Ovis aries: one gene and its partners. The main gene of each other region encodes a partner of the protein of the gene in region 7 in a complex. Links are inferred from orthologs where the notes say so. Each region holds a gene or a part of one and is shown on either strand. Other genes may lie near its edges. The genes, in order: S1PR1, SMO, FFAR2, LPAR1, LTB4R, CHRM4 and GNAI1.

Evidence for each region.
Region 1: the proteins of GNAI1 (region 7) and S1PR1 are in contact, whole or in part, in a cryo-EM structure (PDB 7VIE), measured with the Homo sapiens proteins. The link is inferred for Ovis aries from reciprocal best matches to the Homo sapiens genes GNAI1 and S1PR1. Residues at the interface, in NP_002060.4 of Homo sapiens: Ala31, Arg32, Glu33, Val34, Leu194, Thr219, Tyr320, Phe334, Asp337, Ala338, Thr340, Asp341, Ile343, Ile344, Lys345, Asn347, Leu348, Lys349, Asp350, Cys351, Gly352, Leu353, Phe354; in NP_001307659.1 of Homo sapiens: Arg78, Met80, Arg142, Thr145, Met146, Met149, Lys150, Leu151, His152, Asn153, Arg231, Ser232, Leu235, Thr236, Phe237, Lys250, Leu254, Thr257, Thr314, Asn315, Lys316.
Region 2: the proteins of GNAI1 (region 7) and SMO are in contact, whole or in part, in a cryo-EM structure (PDB 6XBM), measured with the Homo sapiens proteins. The link is inferred for Ovis aries from reciprocal best matches to the Homo sapiens genes GNAI1 and SMO. Residues at the interface, in NP_002060.4 of Homo sapiens: Glu28, Arg32, Glu33, Lys192, Leu194, Gln333, Phe336, Asp337, Thr340, Asp341, Ile343, Ile344, Asn347, Leu348, Lys349, Asp350, Cys351, Gly352, Leu353, Phe354; in NP_005622.1 of Homo sapiens: Arg261, Pro263, Ala264, Trp339, Ser342, Phe343, Ala345, Leu346, Gly347, Thr348, Thr349, Tyr350, Ser354, His433, Pro434, Gly435, Ser438, Lys440, Ala441, Lys444, Ile445, Glu447, Thr448, Arg451, Trp535.
Region 3: the proteins of GNAI1 (region 7) and FFAR2 are in contact, whole or in part, in a cryo-EM structure (PDB 9NS9), measured with the Homo sapiens proteins. The link is inferred for Ovis aries from reciprocal best matches to the Homo sapiens genes GNAI1 and FFAR2. Residues at the interface, in NP_002060.4 of Homo sapiens: Glu28, Ala31, Arg32, Glu33, Val34, Asp193, Leu194, Phe336, Thr340, Asp341, Ile343, Ile344, Lys345, Asn347, Leu348, Asp350, Cys351, Gly352, Leu353, Phe354; in NP_001357016.1 of Homo sapiens: Gln40, Ala42, Val44, His45, Glu106, Arg107, Gly110, Val111, Pro114, Val115, Tyr117, Lys118, Leu119, Ser120, Arg121, Arg122, Phe202, Met206, Gln209, Pro210, Leu211, Val212, Arg216, Arg219, Ala220, Leu223, Ala224, Phe273, Ser276, Ser277.
Region 4: the proteins of GNAI1 (region 7) and LPAR1 are in contact, whole or in part, in a cryo-EM structure (PDB 7YU7), measured with the Homo sapiens proteins. The link is inferred for Ovis aries from reciprocal best matches to the Homo sapiens genes GNAI1 and LPAR1. Residues at the interface, in NP_002060.4 of Homo sapiens: Ala31, Arg32, Leu194, Gly217, Val218, Thr219, Tyr320, Gln333, Phe334, Phe336, Asp337, Ala338, Thr340, Asp341, Val342, Ile343, Ile344, Lys345, Asn346, Asn347, Leu348, Asp350, Cys351, Gly352, Leu353, Phe354; in NP_001338326.1 of Homo sapiens: Ile84, Tyr85, Arg146, Thr149, Val150, Arg152, Met153, Gln154, Leu155, His156, Tyr225, Tyr231, Val232, Arg235, Thr236, Arg238, Met239, Thr252, Ser255, Leu256, Thr259, Arg314, Asp315.
Region 5: the proteins of GNAI1 (region 7) and LTB4R are in contact, whole or in part, in a cryo-EM structure (PDB 7VKT), measured with the Homo sapiens proteins. The link is inferred for Ovis aries from reciprocal best matches to the Homo sapiens genes GNAI1 and LTB4R. Residues at the interface, in NP_002060.4 of Homo sapiens: Glu28, Ala31, Arg32, Leu194, Glu318, Tyr320, Thr340, Asp341, Ile343, Ile344, Lys345, Asn347, Leu348, Asp350, Cys351, Gly352, Leu353, Phe354; in NP_001137391.1 of Homo sapiens: Thr53, Asp114, Arg115, Ala118, Val119, Pro122, Phe123, Ser125, Gln126, Lys127, Arg129, Thr130, Leu208, Arg211, Arg212, Phe213, Arg215, Arg217, Arg218, Thr219, Gly289, Gly290, Gly291.
Region 6: the proteins of GNAI1 (region 7) and CHRM4 are in contact, whole or in part, in a cryo-EM structure (PDB 7TRK), measured with the Homo sapiens proteins. The link is inferred for Ovis aries from reciprocal best matches to the Homo sapiens genes GNAI1 and CHRM4. Residues at the interface, in NP_002060.4 of Homo sapiens: Arg32, Leu194, Glu318, Tyr320, Phe336, Asp337, Ala338, Thr340, Asp341, Ile343, Ile344, Lys345, Asn347, Leu348, Lys349, Asp350, Cys351, Gly352, Leu353, Phe354; in NP_000732.2 of Homo sapiens: Asn67, Arg130, Cys133, Val134, Pro137, Leu138, Pro141, Ala142, Ile218, Ala221, Ser222, Ser224, Val226, Arg394, Lys397, Val398, Thr401, Ile402, Cys456, Asn457.

Annotation. Positions count from the first base shown.
Region 1 is NC_056054.1:78,585,834-78,589,977, reverse strand, and holds the start of S1PR1 (sphingosine 1-phosphate receptor 1), read right to left. Parts: upstream 2,801-4,144; 5' UTR 2,485-2,800; exon of another isoform or gene 1,047-2,484; intron 814-1,046; 5' UTR 652-813; coding exon 1-651.
Region 2 is NC_056057.1:94,816,574-94,820,073, reverse strand, and holds part of SMO (protein smoothened), read right to left. Parts: exon of another isoform or gene 1,566-3,500; intron 887-1,565; coding exon 681-886; intron 9-680; coding exon 1-8. UniProt on the Homo sapiens protein: G protein-coupled receptor which associates with the patched protein (PTCH) to transduce hedgehog protein signaling. Binding of sonic hedgehog (SHH) to its receptor patched prevents inhibition of smoothened (SMO) by patched.
Region 3 is NC_056067.1:45,404,719-45,408,888, forward strand, and holds FFAR2 (free fatty acid receptor 2), read left to right. Parts: upstream 1-1,370; 5' UTR 1,371-1,536; intron 1,537-2,083; 5' UTR 2,084-2,090; coding exon 2,091-3,080; 3' UTR 3,081-3,969; downstream 3,970-4,170. UniProt on the Homo sapiens protein: G protein-coupled receptor that is activated by a major product of dietary fiber digestion, the short chain fatty acids (SCFAs), and that plays a role in the regulation of whole-body energy homeostasis and in intestinal immunity.
Region 4 is NC_056055.1:12,383,330-12,387,321, reverse strand, and holds the start of LPAR1 (lysophosphatidic acid receptor 1), read right to left. Parts: upstream 2,801-3,992; 5' UTR 2,468-2,800; intron 2,084-2,467; exon of another isoform or gene 1-2,083.
Region 5 is NC_056060.1:20,677,597-20,681,689, forward strand, and holds the start of LTB4R (leukotriene B4 receptor 1), read right to left. Parts: upstream 2,801-4,093; 5' UTR 2,795-2,800; coding exon of another isoform or gene 2,665-2,794; coding exon 2,647-2,664; intron 2,292-2,646; coding exon of another isoform or gene 2,251-2,291; exon of another isoform or gene 2,169-2,250; intron 66-2,168; exon of another isoform or gene 1-65. Other genes in the region: lipid transferase CIDEB, read left to right, coding at 2,251-2,291, 2,650-2,794, 3,690-3,839, 4,077-4,093. UniProt on the Homo sapiens protein: Receptor for extracellular ATP > UTP and ADP. The activity of this receptor is mediated by G proteins which activate a phosphatidylinositol-calcium second messenger system.
Region 6 is NC_056068.1:75,317,270-75,321,523, forward strand, and holds the start of CHRM4 (muscarinic acetylcholine receptor M4), read right to left. Parts: upstream 2,801-4,254; 5' UTR 2,722-2,800; intron 1-2,721. UniProt on the Homo sapiens protein: The muscarinic acetylcholine receptor mediates various cellular responses, including inhibition of adenylate cyclase, breakdown of phosphoinositides and modulation of potassium channels through the action of G proteins.
Region 7 is NC_056057.1:42,546,185-42,550,297, forward strand, and holds the start of GNAI1 (guanine nucleotide-binding protein G(i) subunit alpha-1), read right to left. Parts: upstream 2,801-4,113; 5' UTR 2,496-2,800; coding exon 2,378-2,495; intron 1-2,377. UniProt on the Homo sapiens protein: Guanine nucleotide-binding proteins (G proteins) function as transducers downstream of G protein-coupled receptors (GPCRs) in numerous signaling cascades.

The DNA of each region.
Region 1 (4,144 bases), on a different chromosome or scaffold from region 7:
AATGGCGAGCAGGAGCAGAGTGAAGACCGTGGTGCAAAAGAGGATATAGTGCTTGTGGTAGAGCGGCAGCACGGTGGAGCAGCTGGGCAGCGTGCTGATGCAGTTCCAGCCCATGATGGGCAGGCCCCCCAGGACGAGGGAGATGACCCAGCAGGCACTGATGAGCAGGAAGGAGCGGAACCGGTTGCTCCCATTGTGGAGCTTCATCTTCAGCATAGTGATGTAGCGCTCAATGGCGATGGCCAGGAGGCTGAACACGGAGGCCGAGAGGGCCACAAACATACTCCCTTCCCGCAGAAACCACTGGGCGGGGGTTAGCTTGTAGGTGGTGGCCCCAGACAAGAGCAGGTTGGCTGTGTAGGCCACTCCCGCCAACAGGTCTGAGAGGGCCAGGTTGCCGATAAAATAGTACATGGGTCGGTGGAACTTCTTGGTTTTCCAGATGGTCAGCAAAACAAAGATGTTCTCTAGGATGATAAAGCAGCAGATAAGAATGAACACCACTGAGATCAGTTTAATGCCATTGTCCTTGTCCGCGCTGATCTTCAGCTTTCCCGTGTAGTTATAATGCCGGACAATGATGTCGTAGTTGACATAGTCGGAGACAGGGCTGTGCAGGGCCTTGACCAGGGGGATGCGGGTGGACCCCATGATGCGCACGGTCCCGACACCCGGGGCGGCGCTTCTGCAGATGAACGCTAGAGGGCGAAGCGGAGCGAGCCTTCACAGGCAGCCGGGGTGGTTCAAGGAGAGAGATCCAGGCTTTTTTTGTGAAGGTTTTCTTAAGCTGGAGAGGGCCTCGGAAACCACAGCCTTAAACAAATCACAAAGAGCAGAGAGTCAGGGAAAAAGCCACAGCACATTGGCATAATTCATTCTAGCGAAGGCATTGCTCCAATTTTCTTGTTGATTTGTTTTAAGGAAACTTGGGGAGAGCGCAGGGGGGAAGGATTTAAAAAAAAAAAAAAAACATCAAACTCTCATTTCTTGGGGGGAAAAAGGAAGAAGGGTGAGAGAGAGAAAGAAAGGGAAAAAAGAAAAATTACCCAAGATGAAAACTCCGACTCGACGACAAGACGAAAACGTCCCCTATGGTTACATATACCCAAATGGAAATGGGAAAACTGGAGGTGTGAGCCCCATTTAATTCCACTCCTACGTCCTCAACACACACACACACACACACACACACACCCCTCCGCCTCTCCCAACGCTGTCCCCACCTCCACCAGATTTCCAGCTCCAGTTGAAAAACTAAAGCCTTCACCAGCTTCGCGGCGGGCTCACCACTAGCTCCTAGTCACACCTTCGAAGAGACCAAACCACCAATGTGAGACGCACACCTCTGTGCTCGGCACTACCCAGCTAAAACCACCTCCTAATTGCCATGCAAGAAGTTAGATTTGCGCGAAAATCATTTGACAGCGTAAGTCACTTTTTAGGCTCTATTAATAATCTCTAGGAGCAGGTGTGCTTAGGGTCCGAAGGCGCAGCACAGTGTGGGCAGCCAAGCCCGCCCTGGCCTTGCGGTAAACAGGAAAGCTTTAGCGCCTCCGTGAAGCAACTGCCTTTTCATTCTTCTTCTTCTTCTTTTTTTTTTTTTTTTCCGCGCAAGTCAGTGCAAGAAACTATAAAAGTACTCAGTAAAAATCATTCATAAGCTATTGCAATAAATCCCAGAAGTTTCGTACACCCATTGATTGCAAAAGTATTTTTTAGTTACTGTGGATATAGCCCAAACACGCATACAAAAAAGAGAAATTAAATTACAAACGCTAAAAATACACGCCACTGCATTTCAAATTTCGAATGCAAAATTACTCTCCAGAAACTCATACAAACAGAAGTCTGGAGGTTCCTTGCTAAGCCAGTTTTATTTACTGCCCTCCCTCAATACGTTGCCTCGTCTCAGAGAACTACGAAGTGTGGAGGGGATGAAACACGGCACGTGTGGGCAGAAGTCTACCCGTAAGTTGTTTAAATGTTTCAGGGTAACACTCAGGGTAGCAAATGCGATAAAAGTGGAATTCTCCAGACTACAGCAATTCCCGGGACAGCAGAGGCTGCTCGGCGCCCAGTAGCTCCGCGTTTCCCCCCACCTAATTCCACACTCGCTCGCTCGCAGGGCAAGTTTAAGCCCTTACCTCATCTCCCGCAGTCTTTGTCTATAGGATTTTCCAAAATAAGCGCCTTCCCTCCCACTCCGCAGACCCACCGCAACTTCCTCTATCCCCCAACCCCAGAGGGTTCTACAAAGAGGACTTAACCCTTTTCCAAACTTTTTAGTGAGCCCAGAACAATCCGATCCGGTTGGGCGCCTGAGTAGCCCAGAGATGCTTGTTCTCAGCACCCAGAGATGGATGGTTTAAAAGTGTTGCTTTGCTTCTCTCCGGTTTGAAAATTTTGTTTCTGCCTCGGAAGACCTCCGGTCGCGATGCTCCCCTGCTCGCCCGGGTCCGCGCCTGCCCAGCGCTCACTCCCTACCTGGCTCAGGCGGGACGCAGCTGCGTTCGCGGAGCTCCGGGTCTGCACTGAGCGCTCGGCATCTTGCTGCTGCCCGGGACTGACGGCGTCGAGCTCTCAATTTACTCGAGTCGGGGTCCCCTCCCTCCGCAGCCGCACACTCCAATGGCCAACGCTCTTGCCGTGGCCGGGCAGACCGGTCAGCTGAAGTCGCCGAGCGCCCCGCTGAGGCTGAGCGGCTTCTCTAGGAAGGGATGAGGAGGAGTGAGTGCCTCAAACCCCCGTGCCCCTCCGCTCGCGCCTGGGGGCCGCCGGATCTGTGCAGCTGAGACTCACTGTCCAGGAAAGATCTGCAGCAGAAACACACAGACAAAAAAGAGCCCCTCCTCCCCAAGGGAACCAAAAAAAGAAGGGGGAAAAAAAAAAGAAAGAAAGAAAGGGGGCGGAGCCTGGTGCCCCCTGGACTCAATGTATAAATCACGGTCCTCGCCCTGCTATCCGCCGCTCCCTGGCGGTGGAGACAGCTCTCCCCAGCCTTAGAAAAGAAAGGAGGGGAAGCGCTTTTGGAAACTTTTCTCAAGAAGAGTCTTGGGAGACAGAGGACGGCCTGGGCAATCTAGTGCGCCTTTCTGGTCCCCTTAACCCCGCAGCCCGTGGGGGATCGGAGTCCGAAGATTGTGGCCGGGCGCTCCGGGCCGCCACCCCACCACGACCCCAGGCGCTTCTGCGGAGGCAGGGGGAAACCAGCTCCGCGACCCCGCGAGTCCCGGTCGTGTTCCTGGGGACGGGGTGCTGGGAAGGGGCTGCCAGAAGGATGGAGGAGAAATGCTGCCCGGGTAGAAGAATGGCCTGGGAGGTTCCACCGCTTCAGCTCACCTCCCTCCCTCACCCTCATCCTTCTGCTGCCTCGAAACTTGCGGTCTGAGGGGGCAGAAAGTGGCTTTCGCGGGGCGCACAGTGAAATGGGCCAGCTGGGGGCGAGGTGTTGTGCGGGGGTTCCCCTCACTCAACTGGGCGCAAAATCAGGCCTTGTGTCCCAGATTCTAGCCAGTGGTGAGGTCTGTGAGGAGGTGGGCAGCTGCCGGGGCCCGCGAGTTTAAATAGCTTGGGCAGCTCAGGAGTTTCCAAAGAGAAAGGGCTGCCCGGCACGGACCAGCCTAGGACCGGCAGCCTGGGGCCGGAGCCCTTGTCTGTCTTTCTACGTCTTTCTACTTCGGAGGCCCAGCCTCAGTGCTCACAACTCGCCCACTGTTTCCTTTCGCTTGCATGCTGCTTCAGAATGTGAGACTGAGAGTCGGCCTTGGTCAGCTCCGCCTAAGTGGTAAACTGAGGGCCCTTCTGCCCTGCCCTTCTGCTTGAGGCTTTGCAAGACGGTTTCCACCCGATCTCTGGTCTCACTGGCTTCCCATCCAGGCAGATGTCAACGCAAAACTTCTCCGTTGTGAAGTTTCAATTAACACAGTACAGGCACACCCTGTACCTGAATGACTCAGAAGGAGGCTGAATGAATAAACAACAACTCCTGGCTTCTGGGATCTTATGACTTTGCAAAGGAAAAAAAAAAAAAAAAATCAAATGACAGTTAGAATACAGTTTCCCCAAAAGCTCTCATCAACAGCCTTGAGCCCAGCACACACCCTCAAATTCAACAACAGTAAATTCGTAAGACATAGAAACCAAG
Region 2 (3,500 bases), about 52 Mb from region 7:
ACCTCATTCTGGCAAGGGGAGAAGACAATACAATGGAAAGCAGTAGGCTCGAGGTGACCTTTGGTTTAATAGGAGGTGCAGGGTTAGCATGGCAGAGAGGCTGAAAGCGCAGGTGCTGTAGACAACCTTCCAGCATCTGAATCCCAGCCTTGCGGCTCAGGGACCACATAGCCTAGGGCAAGTTATGTGACCTCCCCGTTAGCTGTTTCCTGATCGGAGAGCAGTACTTACTTCATGGTGTGATCTAAGGGTTAAGTGAATAAATAAATAAATGTAAGATGTTTAAAATGTATGTGGACAGTAATAAATAATGATTACTATTATTATTATTAATGTGCTCTCCTTCACCCCAGAACTAGATCCCATCCCTGTCTTGGTGTCTCTTGCGTTTCACATGTGCAAGCCTTGACTTCCTAAATAAACGATAAACTTTCTGAGAATAGGTTTGTCACTCATGACTCCTGTAACTCCCCACTGTGTAACAAAGTGGGTGCTCAAAAATGTTTTATAACTAGACAAGATAATCCCTGATGGACTGGCCCAGTTTTGGTTTGGGTCTGTGGCTCGCTGAGCCCACGACTTGGGATCTTTCAGCTCATTAGGCTCTGAGCTTCCCTGCCCCTGCTGGGCCTTGTCCCCATGCCCAGCTCAGCCCCAGCCCAGCCCTGCGGAGCACTCACCGGGCAGCCCTCAGGGAAGTGGTCGGGGGTGCAGCGCAGGAAGTCGGGCCAGCCCCGCTCCCTCTCCACGATGGCACAGGGGCCGCGGGTGGCCTGGCAGAGGGTACGGCTGGGCAGCTCCACCCGGTCGTTCTCACACTTAGGCATGTACACAGCACACAGTAGGGGCTGGATCACTGCCCAGCAGCGGGGGGCGTTCCGGAGGCCTGGGGGTGTAGCCACAGTGTGGATACATTGCAGTGAAGACCCTTCCTCACCTTGACCCACAGACCCAGCTGCATCCCTGTTCCCTGGGCCTAAACCATCTCTCTTGGCCACGCTGCAGGCCATGACTGCTCAGTTCCATCAGGCACAGCATTTCTCAGCCAGGCATTTGGGCGGGACCATTCTTTGTGCAGAACTGTCCCATGTACTGCAGGACATTTGGCATCCCTAGAACCTGCCTACTAAATGCCAACAGAACCCCTAAGTCCTAGTGACAAGCAAAAAAATGCTCCCCACCCCTCCCACTCCAGGCTTGGGACTGGAAGAAGCTTGATGAGGACTTCTGGGACACTGGTGATGTTCTATTTCTTGATCTGGTACCAGTTACACGGGTATATTTACCTTGTGAAAATCAATCTGTGCCCCTTTTCTCCATGTATTAACATATTGCAGTTCAATTCAAGTTTTTAAAAAGCAGCCCCCATTTCAAAATGACCCAAATGTTGGCATCTCTGGTTGAGAACCCAAAATCAATTTACCTTTTAATTTTTCAGGGGCATTCTTAAACCTTCTACAGTCCATGGGGAAGGAGGGCTGTGGGACCCACCCCCACAGGGCCCGTGCACCAGATCCAGGAGGTGTTTCCCCTTGCCCAGACCCCCGGACCCTTGTTCCTCTTACCAAGCTGAGGTGGGACAGAGAACAGGTAGGAGCTTAGGAAGAGGTAGTCAGGGGAGCCAGGTAATCCAAAGCCAGAAGAGGAAACAGGAAATCAGATGGAGAGAAACAGAGGAGGCTGTTTCCAGTGCAGGGGGAGGAAAGGTCTTGTCAGCAAGACGCACGCAGGTGGAGGTCTCCCAGCACCCCCGCCCCAGCCCAGGCCTCTACCCTGCTCCCCCGCTGGCTGAGCTCACTTCAGCATTCCATCCCTCTGTTCCTCCTGAATCATCCCTCCTGCAGGAACACCTATTTCCCAAACAAGACATTGTATTAGGATAAGCTTCTGAGGAAGTGAGAGCTGACATGGGGAACTGCCCAGGCTGGAGCTGGTGGGGGCAGGTAACTTCTCTTTTGGGGAGGGAGGGATAAGGAGCATGGACCTCAAAATTTGGCCTGCCTGAGTCCAAACTGTGGCTCTACCATTTCCTGGCTGTGTGATCTTGGACAAATTACTTAATCTTGAGCCTTAATTTCCTCATCTGTGAAATGGGGACAATAGATTTAGTGGAACTGTGGTGCAGAGTGAAATAATGTGCCAAATGTATATAGCCCAGTACCTGTCATATACTAAGCACTCAAGAGATATTAGCTGTTACTGTTACTTATCTGAGGCCTCTGACCACTCACAGCTCTCACTAGCAAAGCCTATTCTAAGGGCGCAAAGCAAATTCCTATTGCTTAATAGGCAGTGTTCTTGAGGGACTTCCCTGGTGGTTCAGTGGCTAAGACTCTATCCAGGTTTGATCCCTGATCAGGGGACTAGTCAACTAAAAGGTGCAGCATGCTGCGACTAAAGATCCCACCTGCAGCAACTAAGACCCAACGCAGCAAAATTATATATAGATATAAATTTTTTTTAAGTGACAGACTTTATTTTCTTGGGCTCCAAAATCACTGCAGATGACTGCAGTAATGAAAGTGACTGCAGCCATGAAATTAAGATGCTTGCGCCTTGGAAGCCTGGCGTGCTGCAATCCATGGGGCTACAGAGTCGGACACAACGGAGCAACTGAACTGAACTGGTATTTTAAAAGAAGACATGTTCCTACCAACGGTTCTCAGACCTGACTCAAATCAGAATCACCTGGGGGACCTCTATCCCTCTAGATGGAGAACCCAGTCTCCAAAATTCTGACTGCCTGGGTATGGGTGGAGGACACAGCAGTGGTTGCCAGGGGATGGAGTAGGAGAGGACTTTGCCTACCAAGGGACAGCACGAGGGAACATTTGGGGGTGATGGGGCTGTTCTCCATCTTGAATGCAGTGGCTGCATCCAGGCTATGCCTTTGTCTAAACTCACAGAACTGTGACAACAAAGAAAGTGAATTTTACTGGATGTTTATTACACAATACATTTTAAATAGGGAGGAGCTCCCTAGAGTAAAATGTATTTTAGAGGAGAAACAGATGGACGTTTAATAAAGATACTGTGGAATATGGGCTGGTCTTAGTGACTTGCTCTACCAATAAAATGTGGTGGCAGTGATGTTCTCAAACTCTCAAGCCTGGATCATAATAAGAAGCCATTTGGTTTTTGCCTGGGTCTCTTGGAACCCTTGTTCTTGAAGCCCAGTTGCCATGTAATCAGATTAACTATCCCAAGGCTGTCCTGCTGAAGAGGCCTGGTGGAGACTGCATTGACAGACCCTGGGCCCAAAAGAAGAAAGGGAAAGGTCAGTTCACTTCAGTGGCTCAGTCGTGTCTGACTGTTTGTGACCCCACAGGCTGCAGCACACCAGGCTTCCCTGTCCATCACCAACTCCTGGAGCCTACTCAAACTCATGTCCATCGCGTCAGTCATGCCATCCACCATCTCATCCTTTGTTGTCCCCTTCTCATTGAAAGAGAAAGAGATGCTGCGTTTTTCAAGTTCCCAACTTTTCCAGTTATCCCAGT
Region 3 (4,170 bases), on a different chromosome or scaffold from region 7:
TGGCACGTCTGTGCCCTCAGCCTCCAGATAGCCTACCAGGTGGCTCACTCTCTAGGAAGCTGTCCAGCTGGCTTGGGAGGAGGGACCACGTCCTCTTACGGGCATCCATTACATGTAAAGCACTGGCTTGAATCCCTTATCTACGCTGCCTTGGGGACCCCTCACAGAAGTCCTGGAATGTAAGTATCCCCGTCCTCGCTTGACTATCAAGGAAACTAAAGTTCAGAAAATTGATCTGCCTCAAGGTCACAACGAAGGGACTTGGATTTGCGCCCACATCTTGATTTGGGGCTTGCCTGGTGGCTCAGCTTGTAAAGAATCCACCTGCAATGCGGGAGACCTGGGTTCGATCCCTGGGTTGCAAAGATCCCCTGGAGAAGGAAATGGCAACCCACTGCCATATTCTGGCCTGAAGAATTCCACGGACAGAGGAGCCTGGCAGACTATAGTCCATGGAGTCGCAAAGAGTCGAGACATGACTGAGTGCATTTCACTTCACTTCACCACATGATTTTAAATCTCACACTGACATAGGCTAGGAGAAAGTGATCAGTTTCCACTGGGCAGGCTAAAGAGACTTGTTGCGCAGGAAACTTCAGAAAGAGAAGAAAAGGAAGTATAAAACTCTTTTTGGAGACTGAGTAGAATTACAGAAGAAACCGCCTAGAAAAGAGAAGACGATGAAATAATCTGACTTGGGAAATGGGGGGGAGGGGGAATGCCTGGGATTGAAAAAAAATTCAGGAACTAAGGACAGAAAATCTGGGTTTGGAAATCAGAGTGAGGATCTCGGGGCGAGTGGTGGGGAATAAAGATGCTCACATCCTTTCCTTTGGGTTCGAGAGGAGACAGCACTCAATTACTGAGCTTCCCCTCTTCGGTCACATGACCATTGCTGATACAAAAGCTTTCTACCAGCCAAGTTTCTTACCACTTTTTGCTGTGTGAAATGGGCGGTAGCCGTAGCTAATGCTCTGTGCCTCTTTCCCAGAAGCTTTCAGACTCTCCTTCAAGACTAATCCCAAGAAGCCATTTATCCCGAAGGAAGACAAGGCAAGGCAGCTTGCTTAATGCTTGCACTCTGGGAAGTGATGCCAGGATCAGGAAAGCGTTGAGGGTGGCTGGAGGAAACTGACTGTGAGAGGATCAAAACCAGAAACAGCAGCCAATGGGGGCAAGAAATTGCGGAGCAGACACTAACCCTGGAGAGAGGATGGAGGGGCCAGACAGCGTGCGGCCAGTGAGGCTGACAAACCAAACGGAAACTGTTACCCTGTTAAGAAGAGTTGCTCTGTTTGTTGTCAAAACACCCGGCTCAGGACCAGTGACAGCCCGTGTGCTTTTCTGAATATTCTCTGAAGTCTCTCGGGGGACAAGCCCCATAGAATATTGTGGGCTCACCCCTCCTCCCTGCGCCCCCTCCCCGCACTTCTCCAGCTTCCTCTTTGCAATCTAGTCCCCCAGTCCGAGTCTGTATTGGACTGGGGAGGGAGAGGTGGAGAAGAATTTGTGTTCTGCAAAAGGAGAGGAAAACAGGTAAGGGGATGGATGGGGGGCTGGGCACCTGCTTCCTGGGCCAGTAGCAGGGTCCTGAGGAGGAATCAGCCCTAGGTCGCGGGGCCTGGGTTTTCAGAGCCCGAGTTCTCCTGAGAGAAGTCTTCCAATACCCTCCTTGCTGGGGTGAGGCTTGCCTTTTCTCTTTGCAGGTCTCTAACTGGGGAAAGGACTTGAGGAAGGTTGCAGACTGCTAACAGTAACTTCCTGTGTCCAGGAGGAGAGGAGGAGAGAGGCTGGGAGAACCACAGGGGGAATTCCCTTGGGCAGCCAAGGGTTGGTCTCCCCCAGAGACACACGATGGCAAACGTAGTAACTACTGCTTAATATCCCGCCCCAAGCAAAGTCAATAATTGCTCTGGGCAGTTCTGGCAGGTGGTGTGAACAAGCAGTGGTGGGGGCAGAGAGCCCTGGCCTGGGAAAGGGAGCATGCCCGGGAAGATGTCCACAGACTGAACCAGACTAGGGTCTGCAGTCTGTGAGCTGGTTCACCTGACCTTGCCCCCTACCCCTTTTCATCCTCTTCCAGGACAGCCATGCCAAACTTGGACAGCTCCTTGATCCTCGCGGCCTACATTATTATCTTGCTCACCGGTCTCCCTGCCAACCTCCTGGCGCTGCGAGCCTTCCTGGGACGGGTGCGCCAGCCCCACCCCGCACCCGTCCACATCCTCCTGCTCAACCTGACACTGGCCGACCTCCTGCTGCTGCTGCTGCTGCCCTTCAAGATCATCGAAGCCGCGTCTGACTTCCTCTGGGAGCTGTCTGATCTAGCCTGTGCCCTCATGGGTTTCGGCTTCTACAGCAGCATCTACTGCAGCACGTGGCTACTGGCGGGCATCAGCATCGAGCGCTACCTGGGAGTGGCTTTCCCCTTGCAGTACAAGCTGTCCCGCCGGCCTGTGTATGGAGTGATCGCTGCTCTGATCGCCTGGGTCATGTCCTTTGGTCACGGCACCGTGGTGATCATTGTTCAGTACCTGAATTCAACCCAGAGGGTCCCAAAGGAGAATGAGACCTCCTGCTACGAGAACTTCAGCCAAGAGCAGCTGAGGATATTGCTGCCCATTCGGCTGGAGCTGTGCCTCCTCCTCTTCTTTCTCCCCATGGTCGTCACCACCTTTTGCTACTGGCGCTTTGTGTGGATCATGCTCACCCAGCCCCATATGGGGGCTCAGAAGCGGCGCCGAGCCATGGGGCTGGCCATCGTATCGCTCCTTAATTTCCTGCTGTGCTTTGGGCCCTATAACATATCCCACCTGGTGGGGTTCCACATGAAAGCAAGCCCCAAGTGGCGGAGGGAAGCTGTCGTATTTGGTAGCCTCAATGCCAGTCTGGACCCCTTTCTTTTCTATTTCTCTTCCTCAGTCGTACGCAGGTCGTTTGGGAAAGGGCTGCAGGCACTGCACCATCGGGGCTCCTCTCTTTTGGGACGCAGATGCAAAGAAACGGCGGAGGCCACGAATGAGGACCCGGGTGTGAGTCAAGCAGAGGGAGCGCCGAGTTCGGACTTCACCATGGACTAGGGATGTTCCTGGACCTTCGGAGGAACTCTGAGTTTTGTAGGAGTTGAGCAGGCTTGGAGAGGGAGAATACGAGTTCCTGGCCCTGATTCAGGGATTTCCCTCCACCCAGACCCAATCGACTCCTGAGGACTGTAAAAATCTCTCTCACCAGCTCCATATCCCTTCCTGACTGAATTTCCTTCCCAAAGGAGCATAGCTCCAGGACTAAAGAAGAAACAGTTGGGCACAGAAGCACACTATCAGACCAGAGTTTCTGAAGCAATATAGCTAATGCAGATTCCAGCAGTCCTTGTGAGGCAGTTAGTAGCTGAAGCTAAGGCAATCTTGCTACCAGCTTGGCAACACCTACACGCTGGTCTAGTTGGTGGTGCTGAAAAGAAGCCCATGGAAAAGATAGAAGAGAAATACTAAACGAGATCGAAAATGTAAGAAGGCTCTGAACCTAGGGGACTAGGAGGGAGGACGGGGATTTAGACCTCTAATGACTGAGGTGTGGACAATATCCAGCTAACCTGCTGCTTTGTAAGTATGATCCTGTCTTTGTGTGTGTACCTGTCTCCCCCAGTAAACTGGGAGCCACCTGACGTCTGGGTAGGTATTCTCCCTCCATGGTGCTTCCTGCAGGTCAGAACCCAGCTTGGTACCCATCAGTTAGGGCTCAACTCTCACTAGCACAGGAAAAGACAATGTGGTCTGGCAGATTAAAAATAAAGATTAGAGACTTTCCTGGTGGTCCAATGGTGAAGATTCCGTGCTTCCACTTCAGGGGGCACAGGTTCAATCCCTGGTCAGGGATCTAGGATCCTGCATGGGGAACTAAGATTCTCCATGCCACAAGGTGTGGCCAGAAAAAAAAAAAGAATGAAAATAAAGATTATAAAACCCTGAAGAGAGTGTCCACAATTTTTGTGACATTTCTGCAAGCACAAAGAGAGCAAAAATGGAATGGAGAATTAGACTCTGGTAGTGGGAGGGTGCTGCCTCTGAAACCACAGAAATCTGTTAAGATAAAGATGTCATCAGAGTGGAATGAGTAAGCAGAATAAGTATGGATGGATTCCTCTAGACCAATGAATAGAGATTAGATTCA
Region 4 (3,992 bases), on a different chromosome or scaffold from region 7:
GCCTGCTTGCCCTCCCCCGTACCTCCCAGACTAACGGTTTATTCTCCCCTTTACTCACTTCCTACTGTTCTAACATGGGATAACCACCCTCCAGTTTCTAGTTATCGCAAGGAGCTGGAAGGAACAGCAAAGATGATCAAACCCTTCCTTCCATTTTCCAGATGAGGACACGGGCAAGGGAGGACTAGTTTACCCAACTGGCTAAGGTCGCACCGCTAGGGGGCGTGGTGTGCCTGTGGCTCATTGTGATAACCCAGTCCTCCTGCTGGTCCTTCAGCCTGACCCTGCCACACACTACCTCTTTCTCTGGCTACTTGGCTTCTTTATTCTCAAATTAAACCATATCAAGAAAAACGCAGTCTTAATAATGGTGATCGTTATTCACAATTTTGCTTTGGGGACAAATATTCTCCAGTCTCCTTGAATTGGAGAATCAAGGGTAGAAACAACCGGATGACATATGTGTGTTAACACAATTTAGTTCCGTCCAAATAAGCATAATTCCAGTACACACCCTTTTTCCTTGGGGCTTTACTACTCTTTATCTGTCAAGGGAATAGTTTCTTAGGAGAAGGAACTTTGCAGGTTTCCCAGTGCAGTCTCTCTATAACCGGAACTGAAAGCTTTAAATCACAGACCTCCCGCTTCACGGTTATACGTAGGCTGGGCAAATGACACTTGAGCAAATAGGTGAAAAACTCGGACTGTTAAAGCCTGAAGGAATAGAGGATTTTGCTCTCCTAACTGCAGTTACTTGTTTCAAGATTCATGTTTGTAAATATGTGTTTATTCCAATAGAAAACAACGCGTTCACAGTGAAACTTTAACAAGCCAGCTCTCACTGGAAACCCACGTTTACAAAAACTCCATAGATTTCAACAAAAAGGAAAAGAAAGAGAAGTAGCAGCAGAGAGCAGGAATCTCAGGCCCCAGAGTGAAGGCAGCAGCAAGTCCTGGATACCGTCATTCTTACACATCGAAGTCCAAATGGCAGCAAAGAAAACCAGAATAAATGGTAAATCCATTCACGACAAACTCGTCCTACACACACACACACACACACACACACACACACACACACACACAAGTAGCCCGTCGATTTCAAAACCACCAACTCAAAGCCAGGTCCCTCCCTTGCTTTAGACTTCCCAGTTACTTGATAAACGTGTTTATTAGGCGGGTGAGCAGAAACTTAAGCTTTAAGTCCTCAGCCGGGAGAGACGGCTGAGTGGGGGTGAGAAGCAAGTGGTGCGGGAGCCCGGCGCTGCGGGGCGCGAGGACCCCCGGCGGCCCAAGGCCACCCGGACACGGCTTGGGGAGGTCGTAGAGCGCCCCCCGCCTGCCTTCTTGTGCCCCCACCCAGTCCCAGGTAAGCGGGGACCACCTACGTGTCACTTGGGCGGGTCCCGATCGCAGGCACAGCGCACAGCGTGGGCCCCGGAGCGCGCTGGGGACCGGAGGGCGGGGACCCCGGGCGGCTGCCGCAACTGCTCTCCCGGGGCTCGGTCAACTGGTTGGGGAGGCCGGCAGCGCCTCGCTCCTACAGGCTGGCCCGCGGGCATAGACACGCACCCACACCCGGCACAGGCGCGCGCGTATACACACACACACAAACACACGCACAAACACACGCACCCACAGCCACAAAGCGCGTCTGCTGCCGGGAAGCGCGATCCCGGGGCGCCCTTTGGCCGCGGAAGGGACCCGGCGGCCGCAGGCTCTGCGCTCAGAGGGTACCGTCTGCCCGCGCCGCGCCCGCGCCTTTACCTGCGCCCGCCGCCGCCTCGCGTCCGGCTCCCGCCGCCCCCAGGCTGGCCTCAGGCTGCGCGGTCAATCCCCGCAGCCCCCGCCCCGCGGCCCGCCGAGCCCGGCCCTCCGCCCGCCCCTCGGCCGTCGCCCGGAGCGGGGCCGCCCCCTGCGCCCACCCCGCCGGGGTCCCGAGCGCGGCCGGGAGGCCGGGAAGGGCTCAGCAGCGGGGGGGGGGACCCTGGCCGCCCGACACCCGGGCGGGCTCCGCAGGGGGACAGGGGCGTCGCGGCTCGGGGAGCGTCTGCCGCCGCTCCGCCCGGAGTGCTCCGGCTTTGGCGCGCTGGCAGGGGCGGCGGGGGAGGGGGCGCCGAGGGAGGGCCACGGGAGCCGCGCCGACGCCGGCCGCCTTCTTCCTCCGCCTCCTTCTTTTCTGCTGGCTCCACGTAGCACAAGTCAGCAAGTCCTGCACCTCCCGACTCCCTCCCCCTGGCTCATTCCCTTACCTGGCGCGACGCCCCCCGAGCCCCGACCCTCGGCGCTCCTCCTCCCCCATTTAGTTGGACTTCCAGCCCCGTCTGCAGGGCGGGGGCGGAAGGTAGCTCAAGCCTCCCATTCATCATCTTCCCAGCGCCCCCCACCCGGAGAGAACCCACCCGCGGCCCGAGACCCTCTGGCCTCCAACTCCAGCTCCCCACCCCGCACCCGCTCCCGCGCTCACCTCTGAGACCGGCAGCTTGCGGGACTCGGGTGGCCACCCCCACACGTTGCATTTTCATTTTGTCGCTCTTTTCTTCCCACTTGAAAAGCTCTGGAAGACATCGCCGGGCCCGCGGAAACCCTAACGTCTGGCCTCTCGCGTAGTTCGTGTCCAAACTTTCCAGCAGGCACAGCTCTCCCAGCGCAGCTTTTAACTCGAGGCTGCGAAGAACGCGGAGTCAACTTTGCTGCCCGAAAGGTGCACACGTTTCTATTTCTGAGTTTGCGACTGACTGGGTCTGCAGACTAAAGCAAGTGTGACTGTGCGCCCCTAGTTCTCCATGTCCATGATTATACATTTCTCTTCCGCTTTCCCAGTTTGCACTTGCACTTCGCCAAGAAGTGCAAACTATCAATTTTAGAAGAGTAATTAAGGGCGGGGAATACACACCTGAAGGTGTGGGCGGGAGCGGTGCGGGACTAAGGCCTGGAGATCCTTCTCCGGAAAGAGGCAGCCGGAGAGACTCGCCCAGGTTCTGAACACCTCCCAGTCCACGGAGGGGGCGGCCACAGGGAGGACGCGAGGGCTCTCCTGCCGCGCCACCTACCACCTACCACCCCTGGCTTTTAGGAGCGTTGGCAGTCTGCCTCTGGCTTCACTGCTAAAGGCGCTGCACAACAAAAGTAGCTGCTTACAAGTAAACACTGCACTCTGGCCTGAAATGGCACGTGGGGGCCACGCCAGCGGTATGGTAGGAACTTTGGCAGGACTGATCCAACTACCTGTAAGAAAGAAAGGCAGAACCGCGAGGGAGGGCTGCGTTGATGCCGGTCACTCGGTAACCTAAGGCTTTGCAGAAGAGAGAGGTCACTGGGAACCGCAGCGAGTGGGGAGGGGAAGATTTCTTGGTATACTTTCGAAGAGAACGTGACCATCTCCCGCAAGCGACTGCTGAGAACCTTGGGTGAGTTGGTCTCGTGGTTTTCACAGGATGCTCAAGGCTAAAAACCTGACTGCTCGTCAGTTACTATCTGAGGCTGTTTCCTTTTTCAAACAATGTATCAAATCCCCTTTGTTAAAAAATCAGCTTAAATGACTGCCTTCTCCCCTTTCCTGCTGCTGCTGCTAAGTCGCTTCACTCGTCCCCAATTCTGTGCGACCCCATAGATGGCAGCCCACCAGGCTCCCCCATCCCTGGGATTCTCCAGGCAAGAACACTGGAGTGGGTTGCCATTTCCTTCTCCATCTCCCCTTTCCTACCAATTTATAATTTCTTTTATAATAGATAATGTGAAAAATTAGAGATTTTAATACATGCACAGTGCTAGTATGTTCATTTACAGCATGCAGAAAGTATATAAAAACATCACACTGTGAACAATGAGAGCTGATGTTAAACTCTAATGCACCAGGACGAATAGGAAAATATCCACTATATAATCTAAGTATAATACAAAGTATATATTGGTAAGAAAAGAAAGAATATACTTGAAAAGGACTTTTGTTTTCAACTATAGCTCTATCAACTCAGAAAACTCACTTAGCT
Region 5 (4,093 bases), on a different chromosome or scaffold from region 7:
CCAGGGGCCTGGGGAAGCCCAAAGGCAAAGCGGCAGTGGGCAAGTTGTCTAAGTCTGTCCTGTGCCTGTCAGGTTGGCAGAGGGTGAGGCAGAAACAGGGAGGGACAAGGTGGGGCTCCTCTTGGGCCTTTCCAGGAGCCCTCCCTCACCCTGCTGCTTCCCATCACTAACTCGTCCAGGCATGTGAGAGCCCGCCTCCCCAAGAAACAGGATAGGCTGAGGGGGTGCAGATGAGGTTCCCTGGGTGTGTGGGTGAGTAGGGACCCTGCCGGATCCTGGCCCTGGGTCCTGCCTCTGCACTCATTTCCCCCCTGCAACACACACACACCCCCGGTTCTCAGCCCTCCCACCCTGCAGCTCTTACACTGTCAGGCGTCCCTTGCCAGCTCTCAGCAGAGAAGGCAACCCAACTCCTCATTCCCATAGCTGCTGTATCTTTGCCTGTTTTCGGACTCCTGACACTTAAGCCCCTCTTCCTCAGCTTCCTACCTACCCCCTCTCACCTCCTGCCTTGGGCCCTACTCGTCACTCCAGCCTCACGGCTCTCAGAGGGCTATCAGTGACAACTTTCAGTGTAAAGCATGGGGCTAAGTGCCTGGGGGGAGTGGGAGATGCACGGAGGTGTGACGGGCTTATAGGCTGCGTGCAGAGTTGTGACACACACCCATGAAGAGGCCACACTGCTGGGCTGCACCGGGATATGAGGTGAGGAAAAAGGAGAGGCTGCGGTGAGAGACACACTGGAAGGAAGCCGTCTCTGGGTGGTGAGGTCAGGCAAAACTTAGGAATGAAATTTGGCAGATTGATAACAGTGAGGGAAGAAGGAAAAAGGCTTCTGCCTGTTAACAGCCAGAAAGAGGCTCCTTGGGAGCCAGGACACCAGTATTAGTTTGGTTTCCCTCCCAGCAGAGCCTGAGTCGAGGGTGTGGATTCAGGTAATCCTGTCTCTAGGCGGTCAGCTCGGGAAGCCAGAGTGAGAGCAAGGGAAGGGGAAGAGGGGAGCCAGTAAGAGTGTGTTATTGTGTTCCTTCAGTGGGCTCCAGGAACCTCTGAGCACACGGAATACCTTCCCGAAAGACGGAAGGCAGATGTTTATGTCCAGCTCACCTTCCCCATTGTTTGAGGGTTGTCCTAGAGGCTATAATGCCCTGACGCACACTTGCAGCCTGTCCTGTACAGCTTCAGACAAGGCTCCTGGACAGTGTTTGTGTGATGTGTTCACTGACAGTGAGAGTCTGAGCTTCCACACAACTGTTATCACAACCACAGCTGAAGTGAGAGATGGGACACGGGATACCTAAAGTCCATTAAAGGAGGCATTTTCTCTGCCCCCAACCATGACTGTGCGTCCTGTCGCTCAGTCATGTGTGACTCTTTTCGACCCCATGGACTAGTCCACCAGGCTCCTCTGTCCATAGGGACCTCCTCCAGGGGATCTTCCTGACCCAGGGACTGGACCCACATCTGTCTCCTGCATTGGTAGGCGGGTTCTTTACCATTAGCGCCACCTGGGAAGCCCCCATCCATGACTCCTTCATGCTATTTATTGGCCAGTGGGAGGGAAAAGTGAGTGACTAATCCACTGTGACTGAAGCAGGCAGTTCTAGAGACGGAAGTCAGAGAAATGTTAAGCCAGCCCCTCCCCTGGACCACAGAAGGAAGAGCAGGGAAGCAGGAAGGCCAAGGTCCCAGACAAGATCCTGATGATCCTAGATCCATGGGTTACACCCCGTGGGTGCATACTGCCTCCTAACCTGTTTTCTCCAAGCCCTGCAGATCCTCAGCACAGCCTCCCTTTTCCTAAAACTGCAGTAAATGTTTTTTTCAGTAGGTGGCAGCACATACAAAGCAAAGCACATAACGCAGCTTTGCACAGATTGGCAGCTAGAAATTCCCTCCATATAAAGAAAAACACCAGAGATTACATTCCAGTTACATAGTTCCTGTTTACTCTCACATCACACACTGCCACCAGAGACACTCTCACAAAACCTCCATGGCTTTTGCCTGGCATCTGGGGACACAGTCCTTCCACCACCACGCCACACCCCCACCCCCAACTTGGACTTTGCCCTGTGTACTGGCCAGGCAGAGGGGGCCAGAGTCCAGGCTTGACTCATCCCCCTACTCACTGGGGCTGAGATCCCAGCTCTGTAACAGAAAACACCACCACTTCAGCTCCAGCCCAGCAGAGAAGCACCCAGCCTAGGTATCCAGGGAGAGGCTCCTCTCCGGGTCCCTCCCTCCACCATGGAGTACCTCTCTAACCTGGACCCCAGCGGCCTGCTCAGGTGACTCCTAACCCCCCACTCCACTCTCCAGCTCTGGGTATATGGGCAGAGCCACAACACTCCATTCAGCCTCTAGCTTCCTTTGTGCCCCTCCCCCTCCCTGCCACCACTTTTCACAGTGGGCTTGTCTAGACTCTGCCCCACACCCAGTCCCCCATTCTCCCCATTCCCCCGCCAGCCCCCCACGTCCTCCATCCCTGCTCGGTAGTCTTTTCCTCTCCCTGGGCTACTCTAATCTGCAAACCTAGAGCCTCTCTCCCAACTCTCCTAACGCTGCAGCTACCCCACCCATGCCCATCACCCCCAGTGCACTCAGCAGGCCTCTCACCCCTTCTTGACCCTCCTTCCCACCTACCAGGTCAGTATCCAACATGAGCGCCGATTTGGGCCGAAAGGTCTGGACCTCGGCTCCACCACCCCAGCGACCTTTCCGAGTCTGTGATCACAAGCGGACCACCCGGAAAGGCCTGACAGCCGCTACCCGTCAGGAACTGCTAGACAAGGCGAGTGAGTCAAGTCCCTGGGTGCCAAGAGTAGGGGCAGCCAAGGGGCTAGTCAAGAGAGAGAGTTTGGAATGATGAGCAGAAAGAGCTGTGGTTATTACATGGCTGCCCCTCCCTCTGAGGGCTGAAAGCAGGGAGGTCAGCCCGATGGCTTCTACTGCATTTGAGGCGATTTATTTTTTTTTCTAAGGAGCAAGCTTCTCTTTGGGGGTGGGGGAGGAGTGTATAGGGTTGGAGCAATACATTTCAGAACTCCAATGTATGGAACGGCAGTGTCTGACAGATCAAATTCAAATCCTGATTCTGCCGCTTCCTACTGTCAAATCTTGGGTAGGTATTCAGCCCATCAAAACTTCAGTTTCTTCATTTGTAAAAAGGAAACGATACAGCTGCCTCCTTGGGCTGTGGAAAGGTATAGCAGATAAGGTATGAAAGTGCTACAACAGATACTTGACCCTTGTGAAGACTCAAAAAGGTGAAAAGTCACCATTACTGCAAACAGCTCTGGAGAACTGTGAGGGTTGGGGAGAGTGAGCTGGGGTGCTGGAGATGAGACCCCATCATGGCAGGCCTTGTCAGCATAATACCTTAACCCCAGAGAACTTGGCTAGTTTTTCAGTTCCAAACCGGCAGGTGTGGCTTGGAAGCTGGGAGAGGTGACAGTGCCTGGCAGGAGCAAAACAGGACAAATGGGAAAACAATGGGCCCTAATGAGGGTTTCCCAACAACCAAACAACACTGTGAGCTGGAGCCTTCTGCAGGGACGCCAGAGAGCCGCGGAGAGCTGGGGTCAGCACCCAGCACCCAGGGCCCACCGCTGGGTGCTGGGTGCTGGGCAGAGACAGGGCACAGGATAAGCTCTGCCCCTCCCCTCCTGCTTCTTGCCACTGGGCAGGCTCTGGAGGCCCTGGCGCTGAGTGGAGCACTCACACTGGTGCTGGAGGAAGACGGGACCACCGTGGAGAGCGAGGACTTCTTCCAGCTGTTGGAGGATGACACGTGCCTGATGGTGCTGGAGCTGGGACAGCGCTGGAGCCCCCGCAGGGTGAGAGGCCCATACTGGGGCTGCAGTAGACCACTGATCCCTTCTGTCTCTCCCAAGCCTCTTGTCTTGCCTAGCCCTGATCTTGAGGGCAGAGGCAATGAGAGAGGTGAGGAGTTGTCAGACTCCTCATAGAGGACAAACAATCCAGGCAAGGGGCGGGGGGTCAGTGTCTGTCCCAGGGCTGATAGGGTTTAGTGGTGAAGCTTCAGTACACTGATGAGGGGGGGTGCCCTGCAGAGTGGGGTGCTGTCGTA
Region 6 (4,254 bases), on a different chromosome or scaffold from region 7:
CTTACACGCGAGGATGTGAATTAACTTGCCTAAAGTTACCCAGTGTGTAAGGAGGGGTGGGGGCAGAATTAGAGCCCGGGAGCCACCTTAACCCCCAGGTGCTACAACAGCCTCTTGTTTTCCTGCCTCTACTCTATCCTGCCTCAGGTGGCTCAGCGGTTAAAAGAATCCATCTGCAACATAGGAGACACCAGAGACAGGAGTTCAATACCAAGGTTGGGAAGATCCCCTGGAGAAGGAAAAGCAACCCGCTCCAGTATTCTTACATGGAGAATCCTGATGGACAGAGGAGCCTGGCAGGCTACAGTCCATGGGGTCACAAAGAGTCGGACACAACTGAGCACACAGCACCGGGGTGGATCTGGGGAGGCCTGGGTGTAGGGTCTCTTCTCATTCCCTGTGGGCTCCCTCTCTTAGCTTTCCCAGAGAAAAACAGATCTCTTACCTCCATCTGAACAGCTTGTCTCCAATCAGGTGGCCAAGGGTTTACTCCTTGCCCTGGACCTGCTTGGGGAAGCGGCCAGCTGCAGACAGGTCTAGGCAAATACTTTCCCCTCTTCCCGCCCCAAATATCTTTCAGGGGGTCACCCGCAGACATTCCAACTGCACCCTCTGCTGGGGCGCTTCTCTGGGATTCAGGCCCCGCGGGAACCTGGGGAGCAGCCACCGCCCGGGGATGTGTGCACCGCTAGATGGCAATGTCGGTCCCTGGGTGCAGCTCCGGATCTAGAGCAGGTGGCCGCTATTCGCCCACCGCCCCCAAACTCCAAGAGCTACAGGGAACTCACGGGAAGTCCCAGGTAGGGCCTCACAGGGGAGGGCCTAGGAGCCCCTTCGCCAGGCCCCGCCCCAGAGCTGCATTGGGCTCCTCCAGGGGTTCCGCAGTGGGAAAGTTAAGGGCACCCGGTTCCACCCGGCACACTGCGAGGCATGGGTGGGCGGGAAGGCGAGTGCGAGTTCTGTTTGTGTGTGATCACTGGGGAGCGCGAGTAGAAGCTAGTAGCTGTCTGCATGTGCTGTGTGTGTGCGCGCTGAGCCACGCCTGGATACCAGTGCGCCCGTGTGCGCGTGAGCATGCTCGCGCGGTGTGGACACGTGCATGTGCATGTCTCTGTGTGTGCCTGGAGTGCTGCGGCCTGGGCATGCACACGGTTCGGGTGTGCCTGCATCTGTGAGCCTGTGTACAGGAGCAAATGCCGGATCCACCGTGGGTCCTGTGCGTCCCGCCCCTGCCCGGAGGCTCAGCCCATACTTCGGCTGTCTGAGTATGAAGAAGGTCGGCCAAGAACCCGGGTCTAGATCGCTCCCCGCCTGTGTATGGGGAAGCGTTCCCGGCTGCACCGCAAGACCCGACTACAGTCTGAGTTGCCTGGGAGACCCCAGACGTGGGGGCATCGTCTTAGCTCAGGGCCCCGCGGTGTGTGCGTCCCCAACATTGAGGTGCCGAATCCCGGACTGGGACGGGCTTTTGTCGAGGGGTTGCTGTTAAGAGTCTCTCAACCTGACTTGCGGGACACTCGGTTCTGCTCAGTGTGCCCACTGCGCAGATATCGCCAAAGGGCGCCCAGTCTGCGGGGGAAGGGTGCCAGAAGCACCTCCATAACTGGGATGCCCGGCCGGGACTTGTGTAAGGCGTGTGTAAGACTCTTTCCCATCTCACACTCCTAACCCTGAACCCCGCCGTAGAGGAACCGCCCGGCATCAGCGGCTGGAGAGGGCACCCGGCCTCTCGAGCCCTGGACTGGGGTGGGCCTCGTCGGGAATTATTACTGGGCCCAACTGGAGACCACGTCTCCCCGACTCCCTGGTGGTCGAAGGGGCCCTGGCTCCCCCGTGCCCCACCCTCCCCCAACTCCCTGGAACGCAGTTTCTGCAGCCTCTGGGCGTGGGCACCTTGCTTTCCTGGGAACTGGAGCCCCCCTTTCCCCAGGCGCCAGGGCCGGGGGGCGGTGGTGGTGAAGGGCGGGGGTGGGAGGTGAGTCCTCGATTCCTAGGCGTTCACGCTAGGGCTCCAGGAAGGCTGTGGTCTCTGCTGTGTCCCTGGGGTAGGAGAGGAGACTCAGGAGTTGCGGGGAGGGAGAAGGGGCGCAGGGGATTTGGCACCGACACTGCACTGCGCGTGACACTTCCGCCATGGGGCTCGGGGCTAGGTGCTGGACCTCCCAGTCTCTGAGCCTGGGCGACAAAGGAGGGGAGTCTTGGAGGGGGGAGGGGCGCCAGGAGAGGGCAGGGGTGTTTCCAGTCAGAGTTCAAGGTCGCTGATGGAGGATTCGGTGGACTGGAGTGGGCTGGCGGCGCCGGGGTGGCGAGGAGACGGGCGGGAAAAAGCCTCTTTGGGGCTCCAGCGCCCGGCGCCCCGAAGAGCTGCCAGTGCAGGATGAAGTACGGGGTCCCGCCCCCGACGGCTGCCCCGGGCTCCTGAGGGGCTGCGGGCGGGCACACACACCGGCACCAGCACCGCCGCCGCCCGACCCACTGCTTGTCCATTCCTTCCCGGAGGCGCACCTGGAGAAGCCTCCGAGCCACACTCCGGGCCTTTCTTCCAGCGGGCCCCTCACCCCCCAGGCCTTCTGCAGCTCCCAGCACCGGGCTCGCCCCCGAAGAAGCCTGGGGCCCTGTCCTAGTCGGGCCCGCCTCGGGGAGCCTCCGAGGGTCCGCGAGCCACGCGTCCTTCTCTGCCCACTGAGTCCCCCGCCCCCGCGCAGCCGCGGAGTCACTTACCAGACACCTCCGCCCCGTTCCCCTCGCACCTGACAGACGGCGGGACTGGGGGGTGGCCCCGCGGGCCGGCGGGCGGGGCGCGCGGCCGGGCCGCGGGCCGGGGGCGGGGACGGGGTGCAGAGGGGCGGCCCCTGCTCCGCCCGCAGCTCCCGGCGCTGTGGCTGAGACTCGCGCTCACGCTCGCACTTTTCCCCGAGCCGCGTGATGTCACGGGGAAGCAGCCAATCCTGGCGGGGCCGCGCCGCCCGCCCCGGGCCGGCCACCCAACGGGGACGCGCGGGGGGCACCACCCCGGCGTCGGGGACCCCTGCTACGCGCGCCCCTCCCTGGAGCCGGCCGGAGGCTCTCCACTCGGGCACTGTGGGGGGCACCGCCCGCGGCTCCCAGCGCGGCTTAGCGGGGGGCGCTGCCCTCCCGGGAGCATGGGGGGGTGGGGTGGGGTGGGGTGTCCGCGTTGTCATGGGGACGCGGCGCCCCCTCGCGGGCTGGGAAGGGAGCTGGCAGCCCCGTCTGGCTGCGCTCCCGCCCCCGCTCTGACCAAGCCCAGGGGACGGGGAGGGGGTCTCGTGCCCCACCCGGGTCTCTCTCCTCACACTGCCCGGCTCGCAGCTGGACCACCGGGGCGCGAGTGTTTGACCCTAACAGGAAGTTATGGGTGGGTGGGTGGGGTGGGCTCTCTGCCGTCCGGGTTCCGTCGGGGCAGAGCCGAGGGCCGGCAGTTTCGAGCCTCCAGACGGAGTATTGGCCTCCGGGCAGCCAGGGAAGAAGGGGCGCCGTCGGGGCCTGGAAAGGCGCTGGAGAGAGAAGCTAGGCGACGGTCCCTAGGGAGAAAGGAGCTGGCTCATCGCACGCAACCTCGCCCGACCCCCATTCCTGCCGTCCGGCTCCCTGCTCCCGCGTTCCAAGCCGGAGAGCGGGTGTGCGCCCTTTCTCCAGCCCCGGGGACAGGACGCGGGGCCCTCCGGCCTGCAGGGCAAGCTCTCCGATGCCTGTGAGGGAAATCTGAGTGCCCAAGGTCACCTGGGGTGGAACCCGGAACGAGAGCCTCGAGGGAGATAGCTGCGGGTCTCTTGAGGTGTTCGAGAACGGCGCGGGCCGAAGCCCTGGGGCTCGGGGCCTTGCCTGCCCCGAGCTGGAGGGCCAGTTGGGGCGCTCGAGGGATGAGCGCTGGAAGGCTTCAGCACCTCGGAGAGCGCCACCTCGACGCTGACCTCGGCTGCTCCGCTCCGCCTGCGGGCACCAGCGTTCCTGCCTCCCCCGAGACCTTCCTTCCTGCGGCCGGCTAAGGTCCGACTTGCCCCCCCCATCCCCCACCCTGCCCCACCACATGCCCAGGCCCCGGGGCTTGCCACCCCAAACTCTCTGAGCGCGAACGTCCGATTAAACCTTAAGACGGATGGTTTCTTTTCTTGAAAAAACAATTCAAGTCCCGCCCCTCCTCCACGGGTTGGGCGGGGGGCTGTGTGTGCTGGGCGCGGGGAGGTGGAGGGCGTACCGCAGCGGAGGAGGCAGCAGGAGCTGCCAGAAAAGGGG
Region 7 (4,113 bases):
TAATTGAGCTCTTTACACACTAAGAACTAAAAAAAAAAATCCCCCAAAGAACCAAAGGTCAACACTTCACTGCTAAAGTCAAACTAGGAAAAAGAAATATTTTTTCAAACATTCCAAGAATAAGCCAACATTCTGTTTAAAGGAACTAGAATGTTGGAACTCTGGGCAAAAGGGTAGAGGGTAGGATGGGAGTAAGACAGACGAGGAGGTCCTCTGTTTTGTAAGGCCTAATTCACTGGGCCAATAATATGATGCTATGATGGGACTTCTACAGAGAAAAGGTGTGGGAACAGCACAAGACTAAAGCTAAAAAAGAGAGCTGAAAAAAATCAGCTACCTAAAGATTTTAAGTCATTTTGAAAGCCTTCTAATGTACTTGGTATGGAGAAACAAAACTCCTTAATTTCTTCTGAAAATCGTAGCTCTGCTACACCTCCCTCAGAGTTCTCACTACAGTTCATGGTAGAGATCCAAACTCAGGTTCTACCCTACATATTCAGTATATATTTTTCAGTCTAGAAGAGCTAGTCTCAGCTGAGATTAAACTTGCCCCTAGGGCATGTTTGAGACATTAGTTGGAGGCCAAAGATTCTGCTAAGCTTCCTATAAGGCACAACACAGCTTTCACAACAAAGAGATATTCCATCCAAAATGCCAGTAGTGCTAAGTTTGAGAAATACTGATCTCTTCTGAATATAAGCAAACACCAACTCCTTGGACCCTTATCCTTGTCTATTTCTAATAGACATCTATGTAAAGCATATTACCATACCAGAGGACTCATTTTTCAAGGCTTTAAACAAACATGGTGGATAGCTGGCTCAAAATGAGCGTCACACAATACACTGAAATAATACATCAGAGCAGGAGTGCACAAACTGCTGAAGAGAACTTTTCAATCCTTTCTCCATTTTTGTCTGAAGCACATTCCATTTGAAAGAGGAGCACCTATATGTTCCCATACCAAGGTATGTCCCTTCTGTGTTCAAGATACTAAAAATATATTGCCTTCCTCAAAAGACTATTTCTTATTAATGTAAAAACTTAGGTAAACAGTATAAACTGAGAAAGATTTACTTTGGGTAGGGGGAGGTGTGGAAAAACCACCAGGTCTCTAAAATGCAAAGTTATTTCACAGTTTACTTGTAGAATGACTCAGATCATTATTACTTTTAGTCATGCCAAGTTTGCAGCTTCTAAGCCTACTAGTAATGGAGAAAAAAACCCACCATTTTTCCTGCACTCATTAAACCAATGAAACAGAAGCTTACTGAAAATAGGCTTGTGCAATAGTATTTATTTTATTATAACTGTTACAAAAACAAAAGCAGTCGCTGCAGTGCAAACAAAGATTCTGAGAAATCTTTCACCTACTTTGCTACCTATAGGTAGGGTGGTGTGGTGTGTTTGCGGGGGGTGGGGGGGCGGGGCAAACAAAAGAAAATCCTAACTCACACATCAAAAATCTTAAACTGTGAATATTTTCCAAATGTATCCCTCAATCAAAATCCTGGATTACTCTTTTCACGTTCCCTTCCTTCAAACAGCTGGAAAAGACCTCCGCAGAGCGTTTTACCACCAGAACAATACTAAGAACAAATAAAAGCCTTGCGTCGACCTGGCAAATCTCATTCATCAGAAGCCCTGGCAGCAGAGGAGAATCCTGTTGTCCCGTGTGACCCATTCACACCTTTCACATCGGTTTTACTGAAGCCAGTTACCCAACTTTGGTGGTTCTCATATCCCCACAGTTATTTTTAAAAATCCAGCATAGCCTACTTCCCCTACGCAAGGTAAATGTAATCAGTGCTCCTTTAACACTTACTGAGTCGCCATAGGAAGTTCACCAGAAAGACACAATTCAACCCTAGGGAGGCCCCACAAAAGGTGCACTGATTTCACAAAACGTGGCACTCTTGACATCCTCGAGGAAACCACAACCGCGATACGATGCCTTGTACGCAGGGTTTTAGTGCGGGGGGTGCTCTTCTTTCTTTTTCGCCAATGCCCTTTCATTTTGATAAAGCTGAGCTAACTTAAAAGAAGGGGGCTTCCTTGCGAACCGCTCCTGGGCTCCTGGTGAAATTTCACACCAGGCACGCGAGTGAAGTCTTGCCGCGCCACCGGCGAGTTCTCCGCGGCCAAGGGAGCAAAGAGAAGAAGACCGAGGAGAGGGGCCCCCGCCTCAGCTCTGCGCGGCACAAGCTCGCGCTCCGAAACCATCCTCGGACGCTACACGATGCGCCCTCCGCCGCTTTGGCACGTCCCCTCCGGGTTTCCCAACGCCAAAGAGCCCAGCACAGCCGCGCCCGGCTCTGCCGCCCGAACCCCGGGTTCCAGGCCCACCAGGCGCCCAACCCGGCCCGGCCGCCCTTACCGAGCAGCAGCAGCTTGACCTCGCGCGCCGCCTTCTCGCCATCCTCCCGGAGGTTCCGGTCGATCATCTTACTCCGCTCCACCGCTGCCTTGTCCTCGGCGCTCAGCGTACAGCCCATTGTGCCAGGAGCGAAAGCTGGCTGCCGCTCCCTCCAAGTCCGGCGCGCTGCCTCGAAACACAGGTGAATTCTTTCTTTCTGGATGCAGGCGTTCGAATTCCTCCTGACGCCGGCCACGCCACCCCTACCTCCTTCCGAAACTGAGCGAGGGCAGCGCTCTCTGCCGAAGGGCGAGCAGCACCGCGCAGCTCTTTTCTACAGTCAGGCTCTACTCCTCGCCTCCCTAGGCGCCCCCTAAGACCAGGTTCCTAGGCTCTCGGAGCAGCTGCCAGCGGCCTCCTACTGGTGGCCGCGCTGCAGCCTCTAAGAAGCCCAGCTCGCCGAGGCGTCCGCGCGCCGCCGCGTCCCCGCCCCTGCCGCCCCGCCCGCCGCCCCGCGACCACTCCCAGAGCGCGCGCCCGCGCACGAGCCCTCGGACCTCGCCCCCTCGGATGGGCGCGCGCACCCGCGCTGCCGCGGACCCTGGCGCCGCACAGCCCGCGAGGGCCGGCCACCCGCGCGCGCCCGTGGGAAGCGCCCCTGGGAAGCGGCCAAGGAGCCCCAAACCTCTCGGGGAATTCCTCTACCTGGCTTCCTCCTCGAGAGTGTGATAATTTCTTCCCATTTACTCACACCCAGGGATGTGTGCGGACCTGCCCCTTGGGGTGCGGGTGGGAGAGCTGCCAAAGTTGGAAACCGAAAAAAAACCAGTCCTGGGCGTTTGAGCATGCCCAGCTCGGGCGGGCGCGCGAGGGTTTTCAAAATGCAAACCCGTGTTAGCGGGCCTTCATGGCGGTGGGAGATAGAGCGAGCTGGTTTGGGAATGGAGCCATGGAGAAAGCCGAGCAGGTGAAGTGGGGAACAGAAAGTCCCGGGAGGACAAGAGGTCAACTTTCTTCCTTTTTTTTTTTTTCCTTCTCTCCTCCCTCCTACCATCCATTTTCACGTTCCTTTCCACAGGCAGAAAACATTTTGAAGGATTTCCTCAAACCTGAGAAAATATGAGACAAAGAATCAAAGAGTATATTTTTAAAATAAGAGCCAACACACCCACACAAACAAAACCCCTCCTCACCGTAACTGACCTCCTCTGGGGCGACATAGAAGCTTCCAAGCCAAGTTCTGCACCAATATTCATGACCATGTTAGTAAATCAGAAGCCACTGGGCATGTCATTCTTTATTGCAGGCTTTGGCTTCCTGAACCATAAAATGAGATGGAACTGATCCACACTAGCCTCCATCCTTCCAGCTTTACCTGGTCTGGGAGAAATCACTTCTGTGGGCGTTGGAGGCATCTCACCCAGCGTGTCATCAATGAGCATAGGCTTAAGATCTGGTCTCTGTCAGTTGCACTTTTCCTTACAGATATCACAGGAAATGTTGGTTGATTATAAGACTGGGTTGGTAGCAAAGAAAAACGTCTTCTTTGATGTGTTATATTAGGTAATTGCTCTAACAGAAACCAAAGAGCAACCATTTATAAGTCTTATTTTCTAAAAATAAAAATAAAAACTTTGTTTAAAAAACTGGGCTTGAGTTTTCCAAGAAGGTAAGGCTGAGCTGATGCTACAGGAAGGATAGCCTTAGAGTGGGTCTCCTAAGGAAGGCCTGGGGCCTGGGAGAGATTGCCAGTTTCC